Linked DNA regions of Drosophila melanogaster. The protein of the gene in region 1 interacts with the protein of each later gene in a pairwise test. Each region holds a gene or a part of one and is shown on either strand. Other genes may lie near its edges.

Region 1 (4,205 bases):
AATAAATCAACGTAAACCGAAAAAAAAAAAACACGAAATGAAGAAAGAAATGGAAGAGTGAAATAAGCTGAGCGGAGTTTATTTTAGGTTTAACGATTTGGAAATAACGCCACAAAACAGGACGACAAATTATTTGGCCATCATCTGCAGAACTTTCGCATGGCATTGGCAGATTGGCGAGAGGGTCTGAAAACTTATTAATTTTCACAAAGTCAGCCACACGCAAAGAGCACGCGCACACACACACATACACAAAATTGTGAAAAACTGTGACGTTATGCACATGAGTGAGCAAATAGCAGCAGCCACATCAGCAACCAAAATGCATAGCATACTTTGCTGGGCAATAAGTATTTGAGTTTTTGAAGGGACGCACTATAAGCTGGATTTTTTTTATTTTTTTTTTATTTAATTGACTAGCTGTTATGTTATTAATTTTGGCCACAAAAAGGTACCATTCAGACTATAGTGGAATGGCTGTGAAATGAAATGGTAACATGGTGAGAAAAGATGTTAAAAATATAACAAAGCAACAATAAATATTTGTACGTACTTATTTATTGCCTGTTTTTTGATTTACAAATATTTAAAAAAAATCTTATTTTTTTCTTATTAGCCCTCGAGCAAACGTTTATACTCGATCAGAATTTGCTCCTCCTGATCCAAGGGCAAGTTTAAGTAGTGGTTGTTGTTCTCGGCGAGGTTCTCGTTGAATCTCTTGAAGGCATTGTAAGACTCAATCTCCGACTTGGCCTCGCTAAGGACAGTCTGGAGCAAGTTCACCTTGCTGTTGGATAAGTTTACGAGTGGGGTGGTGCTATTTGCAGTCGCATTAGTTGAGCTCGTAGGTTCTTGAACCTCCAAAACTTTTGTCATGGTTTCAATAACATGAAGTAATTCCGATTCGTTGGGGAAACTTTTCAATAGAAATTTCAGAGATTTATGGAAACTGTTGCCCGTAGTTTCCAAAGCATCTCGAGCGGAAATCTCCGAAAATCCAAGGTGCTGTAGAGTAGTAAGTAACGATTCATCGACAGGAGGAATGGGCGGCAGATTGGCCCTAAGTTCATCTGAATGACGCTGCAGTAGATCCAAACTGCGATCGAGATTATTTTTGGTCCTCTTCAGAGCCTCCACAACCAAACGCCTTTCGTAGCCCATTTCCATGAGCCTAATAATGCTGCGTGGATTGACCCATTCTCCTCCTTGACCGGCGAAAATCATCTCTTGGTTGACTTGCCTCTCGGCAGCCGAGTTCTTTCGCTCCTCACTGATTCTCTCGCTGCGTTCCTGGATATATTGAATGGCCCTATCCACTTGGCCCGCACAGGATCTCAAGGCCAACCTGGCATCCGATTCCTCATAGCCCATTTCAACGAGAGTGCTTAGCTCAGTGTCATTCATCTTGACCTCATACAAGTCCTTTGTCGCCACCTCCAGTTTTTCGTAGGCCTCATCCCGGCGATTTTGGTGAAAGAGGAGCACACCTTGGAGCAGGTGCAGTCTCATGATCAAAGCTCTTTCCGGGCTACTTGGACCCTTAATCGAGAACAATCGAATGAACTGCTCGCCATAGCTCTTGACAAAGCCCCTCTCGCAAATATCCAAACGTCGCTGTGCATCTGGCAGTTGGGTGATGTTCTTCAGGCGCAGATAGCACCAAACAATATCTAGATTGATTAAGGCATAGTTATCCACTCCTTCCAGGAGCTTTGAGTCACATTGGGAGAAGAGTTCATCGGCCTCGAGTAGGATGAGTAGAGCCTCATCGAAGTTCTCCTTATGCATGGCAACTCTGGCCACTTCGTACATGCTCATGGCCATCAATAGGGATCGATTTTCCTCGCGTGGCAAGAAAATTGGACGTCCATCCTGATCCTCCATTTCCATAAAGCGATCTGCATCCGCAACTAACTCCAAGTCCGCACGAATCCTTTGGATACGTTCGTGCAACTCCTGACCTTCATTAGTTCCACCCACAACCACCATGAGGTGCTGATTGGTTTTGAGCCCCTGCGAGGCCAGTGTCTTCTGCCCATTGATGATGCGTCCTCCGGAGATGCATTTCACATGACTGGAATCAACGATATCCAACTTCTTGGCCACCTCAGCTTGCAGATCCGAGCCCAGTCCACCCAGCGAACACTTGATCTCCAGCATTTGCACGGTGCCACCCTTGCTGTCCACACACCGCACATTGAACGTGGCCAATCCGGTGTCATTGAACTCTCGGCGAGCCGCCAGCTTCCGCAAGGCACCATCTTGCAATTCGCCCAAGGCAATTCTGCAGTCCGACACACTGATGCCCAGTTCGCCACTGATGTCCCTGGCCAGGCGGTCCATCTCCGACTCGATGCTGCCCACCTCCTCGAAGTAGTACGGCTCCTCCCACAACTTGATATCACGCTCCCGCAGACGAGCTCGCAGCTTAATGAATATATTGTTTATCTGGGACATGTTTCGTGCTGTCGTGCCCGAATCGAACTAAATAATTTCTAAATTTATGACGAACATTTTCAACTCTGACAGTGCTCTTTCAGTGTTACCTTAACATCTGTTTTTGCTAAATGCTAAAAAATGCTAAATTATTATAAATTCAGAGACGTAAGTTAAATCCCTTTAATTGCAATTTATAATTAATTACAATTAATTTTCCATATCAGTATAAAGCTGTTCAAGAACCCTCTCTAGATACCGATTGTATTTATTAACGAATCTTAATCGAATCGCTTCAGTTCGGCTCATAGTTGGAAATTGAAGTTATCTTATCATAATGAAACAAAATTTATTTTCAATCAAATCACTATATTATTGTTCATAGGTTGTTGGGAACAAAGGCTCGAGAATTGAAATCTAATCTGCTGTAAGCTTAAGAGTTTTTTATTTTTTAATAATAATATATTTACATAGACTCGATGCAGACATCAATGTTGGGCAGAAAAGAGTTAAAGGACGCTGTAACTTTATTGGTGGCATTTACGAAGCAGGAACTGGTATCGGCTGGCAATTTGGCAATCAGTTTTAGGGTTTTATTGATCTTTCGGGTCAGCCTCATGGATGCCTTGAACAATTTCCAGAAGCATTTGGCCGAGTTTTTGATGGACGAGCCCACGGACTTATCCGTGGCACAAAGTTTCGAATGCAGATGCAAAATATCGTCGCAGATTTTGATAATCTCCTTAACGGAGTCCACAATCTTGGCCACATCCTTGGGAATGGCAGTGCCACAGGCATCAATAGCATCCACATAGCTGGTGCATGAACTAAGGATGTTTGTCACCTCCTTGATAATACAGTTGGTGCCTCGAACCGTTTTCAATGCCTTGCGAAGGATTTTAAGGCATGTTCTAATAAAGCCCTGTGCCTCCACATCCATGTAGTCAGTGTCATTGTCCAGTTCATCCAGCAACTGCTCCAATTCCGATTCAAAGTCGAAATCATAGTCGAAGTTCTCGTTCTCCAGCAATTCTATTGCATTGGCCTGAAACAAAGAAATATTTATTATATTTAAGTTAATTTTTTTTTAATTGGCAAATCTTACCCGCGTGGTCAGCAGACAGGTGGCCGAAACCAGAACCAAAAGGCAAACGGTGATGGCTTTCATTTTACTGTCCAATTAATAATATTTTCTCGGCCAGTAGTGAAGATCAGTTTATATACCCGCTGAAAACTACGTCTTATCAGAAATTAATCGAATTGCCCACTCCAACTATCTAATACCTTTTTTTTATACGGCTATCATCTAGAAATGTGTAATCAATCTACCTACCTCAAAAGTACTTATATGTATCTATCTATCAGCACTTATCAGCCACTTAAGATACTTAAAATATACATTTTCGATCGGTTAATTTTCATATTGCTCAATTGAAGTGTTTTAAATGAATACAAATCTGAAATGATTAATTAATTTTCCCATTTAAATGCAAACGAAATGTACGCTCTAAAAATGTCGAATATTTTTCTTGTGGCAATTATCACACAATATCCGTTGATGTCAGTGCGAAATTCACTTGGGCACCCTTAAGAATCGAGGCTCAGAACGAATTAAAAGCCATAAACCGCAGACAAAGAGGAAAAGAACCACAATTGAATGGTGGCTGCCACCAGATTTTCCGGGCACAATAGACGGCAAAAGGAAAAAAATTTGTTGCCATTGTCAGCTTAACGCGCTCGGTTCACTTTGTTCGGGTTATAAATGGTAA
Region 2 (8,032 bases), on another chromosome or scaffold:
GCAAATAATAATTTAAATTAACACCAAGGAAGCTGAAAGATCTTTATACAGTGTTTTGTGTGTGTACATATGGACCCATTCCTGCCACTCTAACCACAACCCAATTCATTTTGCAGGCCGTGGACTGCGATGTTTGCCATCACAAGACAATGTTGGCTCTGGAGAAGAGCCGAAAGCGCGCCAAAGTAAAAGCCACGGAGGAGACAATGGTAGTCACACAACCTGCGCCAGCGGGCCAAAACAAAAAGAAGGCCAAAACGAAGAAGTCTCAGGCGCCGAATAAAGATATCAATGCAGGCCTGAAAATGCAGCAAAAAGCGCCTCAGCGACAGCAGCAGCCTTCGAAATCGCCAGCTCCATCCAAAAACGCGTCCCAACCAGTCGGCATAGCTTCCCAAAACCCAAGTCAGACATCGAAGAAGAAAAAGAAGAAGCCTGCCCAGCCAGCGCCCACCGCACCAAAAACGCAGTCCAAAACCCAGAAGCAGAACGTACTGCTGCAAATAGCTGCCCAGCTGAAGTCGAACGCGTTTAAAGACGCCAGCAAAACGCAGCAGAATCGCCTCCAAGCGTTCCTCAAGTAGCGGCCAGAAGACAGCTCCGGCCATGCATTAAAGTACAAAGAATGAAAATACTTGTTGTGGCACATAATTAAGCGTTAGCACAATACTAGAATCAGACTCTTTGTGCCGCTTGATAAAGCCAGCCGAGGTGGGAACCTGTTATCCACTCGCCCGGTCTTCTGGGTCGAATCACGCAACGGCTATGCACTTATCACTGCTGCCGGAGACAAGTCCAGGCGGGGGGACCCAAGGTTGTCCAGATATTGCGCAGCCAACCTGGTCAGCATGCTTAATTTATTTCTCGGAGCGCAACGTTTAATTAAAATTGAGTTGTTTGCCTCAGCATCCCATGAACGCGTCCTTCAAAACTGCTGCCCAAAAAGGGCAGCCGATCGGCTCTGGACGGGCCGCTTTATCTGCCGCCGATTGTGAAGAGCACACGCACAGGAGAAGGCTCCAGACTCGGCTTCGACCCATGGCCCTCTGCTTACCCCTTTCTGTGCCGAAGACTCGGATTTCTCGGCAGCTGCGGCAACAACATCTGCCTGCCACATTAGAAGATTTCTGGTTCCACAGACTAGCCACTCGGCACGAACATCTTGTATGCATGCACATGCAGAATGAGGAAAAAAAAGTTTACCTTAGGGAAATAATGCCATTTTAAGGACAGTTACTTAATATTAAGAAAATGTGATATACAAACATAAATTGTAATAGAGAGTCTTGAAATTATAATACAAATATGTACAATTATTCGCAATGTTTATATTGTTGTAAACAATAATATTCTGTAATTAAATATCTGAGAAAGGGGAGCCAGAACTTCGACTATCGAGCGTACATTGTGCGCAACAATGTATTTGATGGCAGATTGAGCACCTTTAAGTCGTTCTACTTATGGGAGCCCGACCGTAGTGTAGCGGCCTGTTTTGCCATTGCCAAAATGGGCATGATGCTCTCTAAAATATGATATCAGCAGCGTGATCGTCTCTCCAAATGTGGCAAGAGCGGTACAATTTTCGGGTGCCTACTCCAGGATGGGGTATCCGAATGGGACATGCCGCTTGGGCGTGGGCATCCAACTCCGCCAAGCCGGCCGGCTATTTATTCCACCGAAAAAGCAAAGCAAAGTCGTATAATATTTCACTGCAACACTAAAAAAGTCATCTAAATTTTGATAGAAGTTGGTCATATAAATCGCACTACTTCTTAGCGAACCTTCTTAGAATGGTTAACATAATCGTAGGCTGTTTAAACTTGTCTTATAGTTATGAATGAGTAATTTCTTTAGAATTGAAATTTTGCGTACCGAATTTAAGTTCAATTTTTTCGCGCCGTGCAGAGAGAGAGAGATCCAAAGCCGAGGGCACTTCGGCTGCGTTCGGGTGGCCATCGGCTGGCGGCGGCCCAAGCTGGCGCTCCTAGAGCGGACGAGCTCCAAGTCGGGCAGTTAAGCTCGAGTGATTCATGGTGGCGCAACAGCCGGAAAGTCGCGCTCGCTTCTTGGCTCCGGCGGTGAACAGTTCGCCCGCGAGCGAAAAGGTGTCAACGTAGTCAGAACGCAGTGGAAAACCGGATGCAAGACCGAAATCGGTGCGTGGATGCATTTCGTAATTCGTTATTGGGGGCTCCTCGGCAGCAGGAAGCCGGCCATTCGGGGGGATCGGAAATGACCGGAAGTGCGCAAGGAGCGCGCGGCGGAGTGGGGAGTGCGTTGGCGATGGCGATGGCAGTGGCAGTGGGGTGTCGGACACGCCTGCGCACAGGTTTCCATTGAGTTTCGGGGCCGGAAAAGTCTCGCGCGGCGAAGCCAGCTGGCCAACAGTTTGTTTGGCTTTTCCGCGGAACGACAGCCAGTTGGGAGCTCGCCATTCGATTCGATTATCCATTGCAAACAAAGGTGTCGCGGTCTCCAGTTGCAAATGTTCTGAATCAATAAATATACTATATATGTGTACATATTTTCAACGGCTGGCACAAAGGAAGCAAATACTTCGGCCGCTCGGTGCAAATCAAATTACATTTCTGTTTTATGGTCACGATAAAAAATAAAGAACCGAAAAGTAAAAGCTGTCTCTGGACACGTAGAAATGGCAGCGGGTGTATATAGTGAGGCCCAGAGAAATGGTCAGCAGTTCGCTTGTACAGTAGAACATGGCCATAAAGTTCGAGAAACTCTCTGACTGACTATCTATCTATCTATCTATCAATCAACCTAACTGACAATAACGTTCTGAAATATAGAAGTTATTTCAATATTTGCACACTAATAAGTTGGGTATTCAAATCGGTCAGTTTGAGATATTTTTCTTTGTAGCAGAGACAATTTTGGGTAAGCAGAAGTGCGAGAGTATTTGCATCTTCTCGCCGGACAGACGGTCGCTTCTTTGTGGCGACACGCGTCGCCCACAGATGAGTCACAATTAAAGGGCTTGGCCCCAAACAAGGGGCCCCGTCGCAGGCACAGGTCCCCAGTTTCAAGTCCCGGGTCCGAGCTCCTCTGCGTGTGGCCGCCCGATTTGTATGCGGTTCTTGGCCACAGCACAGTGGTAACCGCAAATGACAGGCACGCCAGAGGAGTGAAAACTGAAAATTATAAACAAAAACGGAGACACCCGACAAGTGCAGAGGCCCAATAAATGGGGATGTCGTAATGACACTTAATGGCAAGCACACACTGTTTCCCCATCAGCGAATCCAGATACTCTAGCCGCCAGATACCCAGAGATACATAACGTCATCGCTTGATTTTCATTTTCCATGGGGCGCCAAACGAAGCGTGCAACCGAAAAGGCGAAAAGAGCAGACAATAGTAAAAACGAAATATAGAGAATAGAGCGCAATAGAGATTGCATTGTATCTGAATGTCTGAATGTCTGGAAATCTGGTTGTCTGGATGTCTAGGTATCTGGATATCCGTGCTGCTGCATCGATGTCCCAGCTATTTATAGGTCGACTCCTCAGCGGGGGAGGTAGTTGCCGTGGCACGGCAGCATCGAGCATCTGATAGCCCGGGAATGGGTATATGCGTGTACCTTCAGTAGCACTCCGGTCGCAATCCGTTCCGCGCTCCACTCCCGTCATCGCAATCGAAGATAGTGCATCCGATCGGTTCTGCTGTGCATGTGATCTAATAAAAATACAAATGTGTTATCCCATTTTGACAGCAAACTGTTAATTTCTAAGGCAAAACGCCGTGTGGTGTGCAGTTGGTGGATATGCCAGATACAGATACAGATGACTATTCCGATCCAGATCGCAAAGAAGCCACAATAAAGCCCGGGCGAGAAATCAAGCGTTCGGCCGGCCAAACAACAACTAGCACTCAACGCACATTAACGCAAATCGCCTCAAATTAACACTGAACACTAAAATCGGAATACAAAAGTGCGGATACAATACTATTTAGAAGCCATGAATCCGAAACCAACAACTACCAAGCTGGCCGAAATTGAGCAGTTTTTGTTGGGTAAGCCAGGTTTTTCTCAAAGAATCGGTCTTGGGTGTTAATAGTATAAGTAGCTATTTATCAGCACATAAAAGTGCTTATGAGATACTCGTATTTGTTTAAGACAACTATTTAAAAGCGGTTGGAAAGCAGCAAAATAATCCTTGGTTTACAATAGCCAATCTCATATTTCTTCAAAACTTATTTTTATGATTTTTTTTTTTTTTTTTTTTTTTTTTTGTTTCCATCGATAGTGTTCCTATCTCATAAAGAAAATTCTACTTATGGCATACCTATTTTTCTGCGTGTAGCTAAAATCAGCAAAGCAAAATTGAAGCCAGTTAGTGTGAGATAGATCAACAGAAACTTTGTTAATTTCGCCAGGCAAACAGCGCCATCAAAAAATTACACACCGACTCAAAGTTGAGAAGAGATGGAGGAGGAGGAGGCGGAAGAGGAGGACGAGGAGGAGGAGGCGATCCAAAACATAACCATTAACAATAACCCAGTGCCGGAGTATTAGTATTGACTCATTCCGCAGGCGCCCGAGCTTAATACTCTTTTGTTCTTCTTTTGGCCTGTGACCAGACCATCGGACTCTTCTGGATATTTTAGTGGCCCTCCTCCTCTTCCTCCTCCTTCGCCTCGCGCGTATTTCGTACACTTTATCGAGTCCCAATTGGGCTCCTCTTTGGAGCGCTGTTCCCCCGAATCGTTTATATATATGTACATATATATATTTGTGGTTATTTCGTTAAATCATTCTACATGTGTATGTGGACGAGAAAGACAATAAACAGCGGATTGGACATGCCGCAGAACTAAGCCTTAAGCGCTCTTTTAGCCCATCTTGGACCTTCCCTAGTCGGTTCCACTTTCTCGGGTCTCGGTTCAGTGGCTCTCAGGGCATGATCAGGGGAATAGAGGAGCACGTACATATATGTATGTATATCCACCCTCCTCCGATGACTGTTGCTTCAATTTATATTTGTTTGTGTATGCCTCACATTGATACATATATCGTACAAATGAGTTTCTGAGGAGTTTCCCAACGATCCTGATTAAGACACAATTATCAACTTAGCAGTTGGTTTCTGCAACACATATTACAGCGAGACAAGCTTATTGATAACAAATATACATACTTATAATGTTTTATAGGATAAACTTCTTCATTATTATCCCATTTTAAATTGGTTAGTTTGCACCTAGTAATCTTTCCTCTGCTGTAGACTTAAAGGCCAAAGTCAGAGTGCTGATTTGGCATACAGATCAAACAAATTATACTTTTAATGCCCTTTTCCCTAATTCATTTGGTTGGAAAGATATGCACTGTCAAGATCCCCAATTATCCATAGTTTGGGAGCAAAAAGTTGCCTTTGCACGAAACGTTTTAACTGAACGGTTAAGTTAAGTCTTGTTTCCACTTCCTTAAAAAAAAAATTATCGCTCCTAACTATATATAATAAGAATTTGGCTTCAAGCTGAAACTATTATTTGTCCAAGGCGTTTTTAACAATTAAATGATGGAAAGTTGCCAAAAAAAACTCCAAGTGACCAAGCTCTTCTGGTTAAGATCTCAAATTCTTAAGGGCATTTCCAGTTCGCATTTCGCCAGCACGACTTTTGGATATTTTTCTTATTTCCATATTTGGACATATTACTTTTAAGAGCAGTTCACCGGAGCTTTGCGTGCTTGAGTTTTAACAAGATTTCGGGCAAATTTCAGCGTCTTCTGGTTTTCTGTGGATGTGGGCATTTCTGGACAGAGGGTGGGGTAACAGACACCAGAGTTAACTTTCTTGGTCAGTGAAATTATTTTTAATTGCCCCGGTCAATTCGCAGTTGACTCTTGAGCAAGAGCTTATGAGGTCACTTATGTACATGTACATGTACATACCCACATGCGTTTGTGACCGTACTTCTGGCTGGGAACGGTAGAGCCAGTGAGTCACGGCTGCAGAAGTCGGAGCAGAAGAGGCACCACCACTCCACTGGCCCACTAATTGCCCGCCCAAGAAAGCTACTCTGTTGCTCAACTGCCCCGCCATTAGGCTCAATGATGCGTTTAAAAATAATAGCCGATGGGGCCGCCGCCTTATTTAGCCAGCTGAAGAGCTTACGATCCTCCCCTCTGCTTGCTTTCAGATGTCCGCGCCCACTTCCGAGCCTCGCTGGAGACCTCGGAGTACGAGAACACCTCGAACCTATTCCATGTGACGGCCGCCGAGCAGACCGCCGCTCTTCTGGCCCGCTGCGAAATCCTGCTGGCTGCAGCCAGTTCTGCATCGGGATCGGGATCGGGACTGGAACTGGGATCAGGGCTGGGATGCGCAGACGAGCAGGCGGCAGCTAACCATCGTTCCAGCCTGGTCGACTGTGTCGATAGCAAGGTGGGCGCGGAGACCGGTCCCAGCGGTTATCTGGAGATGCTTGCCTCCCCGTCACCCTCGAAAAGCTCACGTGAGTGCTGAACACTACTCATACATATTACATACAGTCATGCTTCCCTAACTGAAATCCAAATAAACCATGCTAAAGTATACTGGTAACTTTTGTAAGCTCTACAATTATGTATTTATATTTAAAAAAAAACGGTACATTGTTGAAAGAGACTTAAACCAGCATAATGGTTGCAAAGCGGATAGCCAGGCTTTAGAAGCACTACTGTACCTGTACCTCTCTAATGCCTACAATTAGCACTAATTACCCGTAATTGCAGTGTCCGCCTCGCGGGAGTACATTGATTTGGGCAGCAGCGGATCCCTGGATCGTTGCTCCGTCAATCAACCGGTTCCGGCAGCGAAGGACAAGGAGCCACATCAGCAGCTCTACGAGATTTGCCAGGGCCAGGGAGCGGGCCAGGACGAGGATGAGGCGCAACAGGCGATCACCTTTACCCACGAGGTGTTCATTGACTGCCCGTATGCAGATCTGCCCGCTGGCCACTTGTCCCTGCAGAGGTCAACAAAGTACGGACAGCTGCAGAGGATTGTGCCCAAGCGGCTGTTCTTCGACCAGACCCGCAAGTGCTACTGTGGCATCCTCAACGATTGGATGCTGTGCTATGCCGACGGCCCGACCGCCTGTCGACCCAGCAGCACGCTCTACTTGAAGAGCTCCTCCATCGAGATTGAACACTTCGGAGAGGGGAAGCGGCGCGACATCTGCTTCCAGATCACAACAGACGACCCCAACAAGAAGTTCGTGTACCAGGCCAACAACGAAGTCGATGCCAAAGAGTGGATACACGCCATTGAGGCGGCCATCCGCGGAGATGCTGGTGCTCATTCAGCGTTAAAGACTCCACCGCCCCGGAAACTGCCCACGCCGCCGGTCCAAAAGAAATCCACCTACACAGCAGCGGATATCATCTACGAGGAGCCCTCGCCCGTGTATGGTCTCATAGACTCCTCCTCCATGGTGCTCCCTAAGCTGCCGGAGAAAAGCAACAGCCCAAGCGCCCTCGCCCGACGTTTCGAGTACGATGTGCCCAAATGCCCGGCACAGCCGCTGCAGGACACCTCCTCCAGGGTGGCATCTGTAAGTGGGGAGCTGGAATCCCTGGGACTACTCAACGAGGGAGATATTAAGGTGCAACCGCAGCCTTCCAGTTTGCACGGAAGCATATCGCTGGACTTCCAGGCCAGGGTGAAAACAGTGCACAGTGAGCTCTCCACCCAGTTATCAGCGGCCGGTCCCAGTCCGGATCGTCTGAAAAAGGCAGCGAAAAAGAGCTATTCGAATGGTAGTGAACCGGAGATGCTCTCTCCCCTGACCAGCCCCGTCCAAACGCCCACCAAGGATCAGAAGAAGCAGCGCAAGTCAACCACCTCACCGCAATCCAGTCCGGTCAGCAAGGACTGCGACAAGCTGGCACGAAACTGGTTCCTCAGTCGCCTTAACAAGAGCACCGGATTGAAGGCGACCAACACGGGCAGTGCATCACCAACCAACGCCAAGTGCAAGCAGAGCGAGAAGGAGAACCTGCTGACGGAAGCGGAGCTGGGCGAGGGCTATG
Region 3 (4,713 bases), about 10 Mb from region 1:
CTAAATAATGAGCTTACATTTTGACCCCATTTCCCAAGGGACATAAATTTCTCTAAGATAATTATTTTGTAAGCCGCTAGGCCAATTAAAATATTTTTAAAATAACTAAATTTTATTTGAGATTCCTTTTAAGGGTATGCAATTCCTAGCCAATTTTTGTGTCTCCTTGAGCAAAACATCAAAGATGTTGGAACAAACACAATCAAGCGCCAATAAACTAAAATAAATTAAAATGAAAAACCTGAAAAAAAAACGAAAGTAAAATAAAAAGTTGCTCAATTCATTGTTCTGTGAAGCCAAAAAAGTGTGCCAGAAAGTAAAAGTTGAATCACATCACCGAAATCACTGATTGGCCGAAAGAAAAACCTTTGCCAGGTATTTCCCAATTTCCCGTGAGTTTTTGTGCATTTTCATTTGATTTTCGATTTGGTTCATCAAACCGCATTCGGTTCATTCAAAGTCAAGTTCAAGTTTAAATGACGCCGCCCGCCTGTTTAAGGGTAAAATTCACAAACAAGATTTATATAAGCTAAACAAACAAAGTCAAAAGAACATTTGGATGCAAGTGCATTTGGCCTTGAGTTTATCGGCGGAAAAAGAAAACACATGCAGGAAATTCTGTAAGCGATCTGCACGATTGAAAAGGTCAACATGATCTCCATGAATGTATTTACTATTATTAGAAACATATGTACTCCCAGATCTGCCCTTCAACTCGTTTCGATGTAATTGTATATGATGGGGGAAGCTTTACCCATCTTTGTTTATTCGTTTTCGTAGGAATTTCCCTGGAAAATTTGTGTTTAGATTATCAATCATTGGGTCGCACGTGAGCAAAAAAGATATACCCTACAGGAGGGTATAATCGAAAAAAATGAGTTACTAATGTTTTAAATAATCAATTAACGGCAAATTTTACATAACAAGCTAGAAAATATCAAACTATTCATACAGATTTCATTATAAATAATATATTGTGTGCTTAAAGTATCTATTATTTGGTTAAATGTATCTGGACCAGTTTTGTTTATTTACCTGTGTGGGCATGTTGCTGGAAATGATTTTTCCATTATCAGGAAACTAAATTATAGCTAATGCCAAAGCCAAAAGAAAACATAAACAAATAAACGGAATTTAAATGCTTTTATGGCAAAAATTCCATCGGCCTCTAACCACATTTTGAATTAGTTAGTTACAAAAAACCAAATATTGTAATGTATTAGTTAGAGCTTATAGTTCACTGATCAATTCAATACCACAAGTGACGCCTTTCCCTTGAAACATTCAAAGAATATGTTAAAATTATGAAAAACCATAGGAAAAACAAAAACAGAAAATAGGGTGTGGGATTTTCTGAAAGAAATATGGGCTCATATGTATTGTGTATGTGTGGTATGACTTGGCTGGCTTTCTTTTTATGATCATCGCCAGCGTCATCGCGATTTCGGTATTGAATCGTTGCAAACAATGAGTGGGTGCCACCACACGATCTATCAGAATGTGGTGGGAAAGCTTTCCCATAACCAATCTCCGGAGCTTTGCCACACAGATGCGATGAAAATCGCTCACGGATAGAGCAACCTACGCCGTAAAGGAATGCGCCGTGCTTTTGGTGCCGAAACGGAATGGCAAAATTCTGAAACGAGGAAAATTGGTGAGGCGAATTTTCTTGGGGTTTGCAGTTTGAAAAAATTCTTCGTTGAGGATAGATCGCTATTTTTTAGGAGTAAATTTAAATTGTAAGCGAACCCGAAACATATTAAACAACATACAACTGAATAGTAAATTAAATAATTATAAACGAAATGAAAAACAATAAAATCAAATTAAATAAAGTGCACCATCACATCTGAATGTGGAGACGAACAATTAACTGGTGAAATAATTATGGAATTATGATCGCATTATGAATGATCCGATATGTTCCATAGCGAAAAGACATTGACTATAATTATATAAGAGAGATCGTACTCAATGACATTTGATACCGAAGTGTTGGAGCTCATCAAGAGTTTGTGCAGTGAAATATAAAAAACAAAAATCCCACATTGAATTAAATTCAAAATTAATTTAGTTTAATGGATAATAAAGGCCTATTTTAAACATACTTCAACTAAATTGTTCTTAGACTTTGCACACTTCTTCGATACTTAAGTAAATTCCGCTAAAAGCCAGAATAACAGAACGATTTCAACTCAAGGACATTTAAAAATAAAACCCAATTTAGCTGCAGCTTACACACAGATACACTTACATCCACTCACCCATTTACACGCACACACTGACGACACCTAGAATATTTGTTCTCATACTCAGAAGTGTGAAATTTGCTATGCAACAAAAAAATATTTTTATATTCGAGCAACCAGGAGAATACCACGATACATGAAAAATCACAAAAACCGAACCGAAATATATTTATTTTTAGTGAGATTGATCTTGCGTTAGCTGCTGTTGCCCGATCGCGGTATTATATTAGATTTTATGTATATGTTTTATAAACTTTGCACTGCTCTAAAGTGGCACACAGTCTGTTTATTTTCGAACCGAGAGACTTTCAACGCGAAAGCAAAAAATTCAACTGAGAAAACATCCCATCAATCGAGAGACAAGCGATTCGAATTCGTGCGTGCTGCCTGGCATTTCCCGGGAAATAGATTAAATTGAAAACGGACAAAAAAAAAAAATAAAATAAAATAGGCGGAAAGGAAATTTGAAACACATTGGAAAATTGCTAAGCCATCTCTCTTCCCAACTTTATTACAGCGAACGAGTTCAACGATTTTTTCGTGAACAGAACAAAACAAATCGATCAAAATGTTCAAAAACCACTTGGAAATGATTGGGCGCAATGAGAGCCCCAGCAAGAAGGCGAAATTCTGGCAGTCCTACATCAGGTCCCTGAAGGGTAAGCATTCACTAAATAAGCTCAAAAATTACATTAAAAGATAGGATAGTTATTCAAAACTACTATTGATTGCTTAGTCACAATAGTAGGGAGTTTGCATAGTTCCAAAATAATTCAAAAAACAATTGAAGATTAACTCGAAGTGTTCCCATTTCGATATGATTAAGGGACACTCAAAAGTGATATTATTAAACTCTGGTCGCCAGTGAGCAACACAAATAGCTTAGCCTATATGTGTATAGTCTATTTATTTTGGCAGGTGTCATATCAGCCAAGCTATATACTTAGACACGCTCTGCTGGGAAAGCTTTTCGCCATAGTATATTCGAATATATAGAGAGAAATTTGTAAAATATATATGCTCAGGCCTTAAACAAAGAATAGGCTAAAATATAGGATACACATACAGGGGGCGCATCTATGATAGAAACCGAATAGAAATCATACATTTCTGCAGCGCTGGCATTGAGCCAAATAGTGAGAATAGAATAGCCGAAATATTTGAAAAGCAATGAACTAACGCGTCGTTATCCAAACAACTATTTATAGGCTCCGAGGATATCCGTGCCCACGAGGCGCCCCGTGCCTCTCGTCCCTACAGCTCCTACCTGGACTCGCCCTCCTACAGGAGCATCTATGACGAGCCCGCCACCGCCAATGAGCGCGTCCAGTCCTCTGGCTACAGATATCTGCCAGTGAGCCGCGACACCTACGGCTACTCGCCCCGTGCCATCTACGATCATCACTACAGCCGAACAAGTAAGTTGGTACCATATACGGACCACATACTGTACTATCTACAGCCGATTCCCGCCTAACTGCTTCACACAGCCGAGTATCTGTATCTTAATGCTTCCGAAATCGGTGGCCTTGCAAATGTGGATATTGAACTAAGATATCCTGTTATTACCATTTAAAGTATATTTCAAATAATATAGATAAATGATTATGATTGTTTACATAACAAATTATCCGCCATGAAACTAAAAGATATTTTTAACATTCTTGAAACTGGAATAGTAACATAGATGAAATTCAGGTTCAAAAGTTTATGTCAATGCTTTCAATCTAGTTTTTTAGAAAAAAACGTTTAAAATTTTAATTAAAATTTAAAATTAAAAAAGGCAATCACCTGATTGTTATTTGCAAGGTTACATAAGCTTCGGTCCATCCGAACGCCACAAGTTCTTTCAGCCTTTCTGCTTCGCTTCGATGCGCCATCCATCAATCAGTCAGTCAGTCAGTCAATCAGTCAGTCAATCAGTCGAGTCATTACAATCATCTTACAACTGCAATCTCGCCACTGCCTGCTATTGAAGCTTTTGACAACACCTTGAATATCTCAAAACCGCCATATTTTTATGCGTTTCATTTGAGATGAAAACTGGTGCGAGCGCTATGATTTCATAAATTTAAAAATAAAAATGGACAGCGCCAAACGGCCAAATACAATTACGTCAATGAAAATTTTCGTTTCGTATCGTTTCGTTTCGCCTCGGTCGTGTTGATTTTGGCAAAAGGCCTCAAAAATGAACAAAAAAAATAAAAAAAATGAAGACAATAATATAGGCAACACACACAGGCGCTATATATCAAGTCAGGTATATAAGCGGAATTTTTGACTCAATTTTTTTTTTCGGTGCGTGCTCTGGGATCAAATGACTGTGGCGGCCCTCGGTGCGCGGAAACCGAAGTTCTCTTTTCCGATTTTCCGAATTTCCACACACTCACACACTGGCAAAAGCCCCAAGCACCCAAATCCGAACACCCAGCCCCCTGAAGTCCGCCCATTTCACCTTCAACCT
Region 4 (3,670 bases), on another chromosome or scaffold:
CTTAGACAGAATTGAACAACTTTTTCCAGCTACAAGTTAATTGCATGTTGTTTGAATATATTTTTCGAATTAAAAGCACTTTTGTCTTTCATCAGTTTGTTTTTGGAGTGGTTCCTGTACAAATTAAAAAGGCCAATGCCATTTAACTTGCTGCTACTTTCGGAAAGTACGACATATGTACAACTAACTTATTCCCACAATTATATTGACCGCAATTGGGTGTGTTAGAAAGGTCAGCGGGGTGTTGGGCCCTCTTCTTTGGGAGGTTATGGTGGGTGGTGGTTGGTAAGTGGGGGAAACTTCTTGGCAGCGGACAAGTGTCCTTTCGTCTTTGTTGTGACGCCTTCGAGTGGCGATGAGTCATGAAGGGAGCTTTAAATATATGTATGTGTATGCGGACTGCGTTTTCAGCGATTTCCCCAGTTTGGCCCCCATTATTTGTTCTCACCTTTGTCATTGGGATAGCTGGGATAGACGTTCAGTTGCTCGTCGTCGCGGGAAACTTGCGTTATTATTGATGTTGCATCCATTTAAGCACTCGGTTTGTGGCTCCACTTCGCTTAACAGGTTGATAAATCGGATTCGGATTCAGATACTGATTCAGATCGGTTTCGTATAGGATAGCTGCAAAATGTTGCGCACACATGAGAGATAGAGATACATTGGATATGGCAATTATCGCGAGATGATTCCATGTTTTCTTCGTATATATGGTAAGTGTCGTGCAGTATATATGTCGTACATATATAATACATCTACCACGTATATATAGCTCACACACACACACATGCACCAATTGATAGCCTGCCCCAGACAGTGGAATTTTACAATTACGCTTTGGCCGTCCGTTCGCTTCGTTTTATTTCTCGATGCAAATGGGTTTCCCTTTGATATTCACCTCGCTATTTATCGCTCTCTCTTTCGCTCTGTTGCACTTTCGCCTCTCTGTTTTAGTAAATTTAAAACTTTTCAACGAATTTCAATAAAAAACACTTTCTTTCTTTCCTTCGCTCTTGTTTTTGGTTGCGCTCATTCTTTTACTTCTTTATCCGCGTCTGCTTTTCGCACACAGCTTCGCAGCGTTTTATTTATAAACGCCCACACAGACACAGCACTCACACACACTCTCGCACGCACACTAGCTCGGCCGCTGGTGTTTTCGTTATTTCGTCTCGTTATTTATTTATTTTTTTTATTTTTTGCCATTAATTAATCGCGCAAAATAACAAAACGCGTGTGTACGTCGAAAAAAAGTAACAGGAATAGCGCAAAAAACAAAACGTGTGATTAGTGTGACCGCGGTGGATGCGAGACTTATTACCAAGTGCAAAGAAAAAGTGGTAACATTTCGTGTTTACCTTAGAATCACAGGTTGAAGAAAGGCTTGATTATAAGTTAATTACTTACAAGGAGAATGTAGAATTCTATAAAAGGAGCTTGTTTTGAACTACATAATTATTTTCATAGATTTCCAAATTCGATAATCAAAGGTCATACTATCTGGTGCAATTTGGGCTGCCAACTGTGGTCAAGTTAATCTATAAAATTCTTGATTCAAAATGCAATTTTAAGAACATTTTATTTCAAATTATATCAAATCAGATAAAAAACAAATGTCCATGAAATGATTAGGTTAGTTAAGGATATTTTCAATCAAAACACTATAAGAAATAGGACAAGGGAAGCCAAACATAAAATAAAGCCAAATTTAACTATAAACTAGCTTAAACGGCAGTGCAAACAGTTCATCTGGTCTGGCAACTCTCCGCCGAATTGTTGTTACGCGAGCGATTTCTTTGGTCTTATTTCTAGTTAAAATTATCAAAGAAATATTATAAAATGTTGGCCGTACGAAGTTCCCAGAGATTGGGCCTACGGTAGGCCACCCGTCTAATTTGAAATAACCAAAAGAAATCCGTCACTCGACTATTTATTTTTCAGTTCCCTGCTACCGTCTGCCTTCAAAAACGTGGGATTGGTCAACTACTCCTCTTCGCAGTCCAAAAACGACGATGGATACTCCTCTTCGGACGACGAAAAGCCCACGAAGAAGAAGGAGGAACCTGTGGAAACGGCGGCCCAGCGGCTGAACCGCCTGTTGGGCACCATGCAGGCCACGGATCAGCTCTCGGCATCGGACTTTCCACGTCCTGGTGATGCCAACAGGAAGCGGAGGGAGGCCCAGAAACAGGAGGCAGCCGCCAAGAATGTTCTAACTGCGGCCAAGAACATTGCTAGCATGCTGGGCACCAGTGAGAGCGACAAGAAGCAGACAGAGTCTGAGCTATTGGCCAAACTCCTTGGCCATGGAAGCGAGTCCTCTTCAGCAGCGACCGGAGAAAATCAGACGGCGGATGTTTCGGGATCTCCTTCTGGTGATAAGGAACTCAATCTGAGGTGTGTAAAAATGATTTTCTCGCATTAATGGATAATCTAATAAAATTTATTTTCCTTACACAACAGTGATATTATCGTGGGCATGAAGATCGATCGTCGTCAGCAGCCGCAGCAGGTGGAGCAGACCCGCGGCGAGTACGTTCGCCGCTCGCTGGCTTCCAGATTCAAGCCACAGAATCGAGATGGGGCTTATCAGCGGTCACAGAGGCAAACCAAACGAGAGGCTGAATCCTTTACGGGCAGTGTCAATTTGTACGGCGGGGAACCGTTGGGTATCTTCAAGGATACCCAGCTGCCGATTTCCAACGACATCCTTTCAACCTGGTCACAGCTGAGTGAGCGGGAGCTTAGTTTACAAGCTTCCCATCCCCCGGCAAACTACTTCGAGCAAATGGTCCTGTGGACGGATCAAAAGAAGGTGTGGCGCTTTCCCATCAACAATGAGCAGGATTGGGAGGACGAGCATAACGTGGACTTCTCGGAACACATTTTTCTGGAACAACATCTCGAGGATTGGTGTCCTAGCAAGGGGCCTATTCGCCATTTCATGGAGCTCGTCTGCGTCGGCTTGTCCAAGAATCCCTACTTGACTGCCCAGGAGAAGAAGGATCACATTTTCTGGTTCCGTGACTATTTCCAGGCCAAGAAGGACATTCTGAGGGATCTGATTAGCAAGGAGCCAAGCAAAAGTATTTCTGCTTAATGTTTTTGTTTGAATATTTGTTAAAAATATATTTTTGCTTTATAAGACCAATCCGATATATAGTTATATATATGATATTGTGTGTGTATATATGTGTGTATAAGAATGTGAGTCCTTTAAATATCCTAATACTTCGAAGGCTGTGCAGACTGTGCGCGGAATGTGTGAACCGGGAACGGGCTTCAGAAGAGCAGGATGCGTTTTTCCACGGTCTTGCGGCAAATGGGACACCCCTCAATCTGGTCGCCACACATCTGGCACGTGCCGTGGCCACATAGGAAGACCATGTTCTTTATGCGGTCAAAGCAGACAGGACACATAGTCTATAAGATAAATTTGAGGATCAGTCACTGAACATATTTTCAATCTTATTTGAGCTCACCTGTTCCTTGATGTCCTGCAACTGCTGCTTCAACTTTTGGACATCATCCATCTGGAAGTTGTTGACATTGGAAGGAGCCACCATCGCGTTTCCAGCTGCTGACAGATTCGAGACATTCGAAGAGGCTGCTGCAGCGGCCAGGAGATTATTCTGGCTATTCAACTGATTGCTGCTGCCCGCCACTGGAG

Evidence for each region.
Region 2: the proteins of CG5111 (region 1) and blow interact in a two-hybrid assay, tested with the Drosophila melanogaster proteins (one large-scale study listed by BioGRID).
Region 3: the proteins of CG5111 (region 1) and Mf interact in a two-hybrid assay, tested with the Drosophila melanogaster proteins (one large-scale study listed by BioGRID).
Region 4: the proteins of CG5111 (region 1) and mRpS31 interact in a two-hybrid assay, tested with the Drosophila melanogaster proteins (one large-scale study listed by BioGRID).

The regions. Positions count from the first base shown.
Region 1 is NT_033777.3:25,504,616-25,508,820, reverse strand, and holds CG5111 (uncharacterized protein), read right to left. Parts: upstream 2,547-4,205; 5' UTR 2,458-2,546; coding exon 613-2,457; 3' UTR 542-612; downstream 1-541. Other genes in the region: CG5107 (uncharacterized protein), read right to left, coding at 2,903-3,481, 3,542-3,604.
Region 2 is NT_033778.4:7,581,056-7,589,087, reverse strand, and holds the start of blow (blown fuse), read left to right. Parts: upstream 1-2,008; 5' UTR 2,009-2,156; intron 2,157-3,602; exon of another isoform or gene 3,603-3,730; 5' UTR 3,731-3,977; coding exon 3,978-4,032; intron 4,033-4,865; exon of another isoform or gene 4,866-4,919; coding exon of another isoform or gene 4,920-4,953; intron 4,954-6,159; coding exon 6,160-6,474; intron 6,475-6,733; coding exon 6,734-8,032. Other genes in the region: CG1360 (uncharacterized protein), read left to right, coding at 117-584.
Region 3 is NT_033777.3:15,177,234-15,181,946, reverse strand, and holds the start of Mf (myofilin), read left to right. Parts: upstream 1-1,676; 5' UTR 1,677-1,739; intron 1,740-2,596; exon of another isoform or gene 2,597-2,625; intron 2,626-2,766; 5' UTR 2,767-2,817; coding exon 2,818-2,908; intron 2,909-3,457; coding exon 3,458-3,667; coding exon of another isoform or gene 3,668-3,726; exon of another isoform or gene 3,727-4,713.
Region 4 is NT_037436.4:16,003,451-16,007,120, forward strand, and holds mRpS31 (mitochondrial ribosomal protein S31), read left to right. Parts: upstream 1-1,742; 5' UTR 1,743-1,839; coding exon 1,840-1,877; intron 1,878-1,941; coding exon 1,942-2,397; intron 2,398-2,463; coding exon 2,464-3,100; 3' UTR 3,101-3,149; downstream 3,150-3,670. Other genes in the region: hzg (herzog), read right to left, coding at 449-530; mib1 (mind bomb 1), read right to left, coding at 3,283-3,423, 3,483-3,670.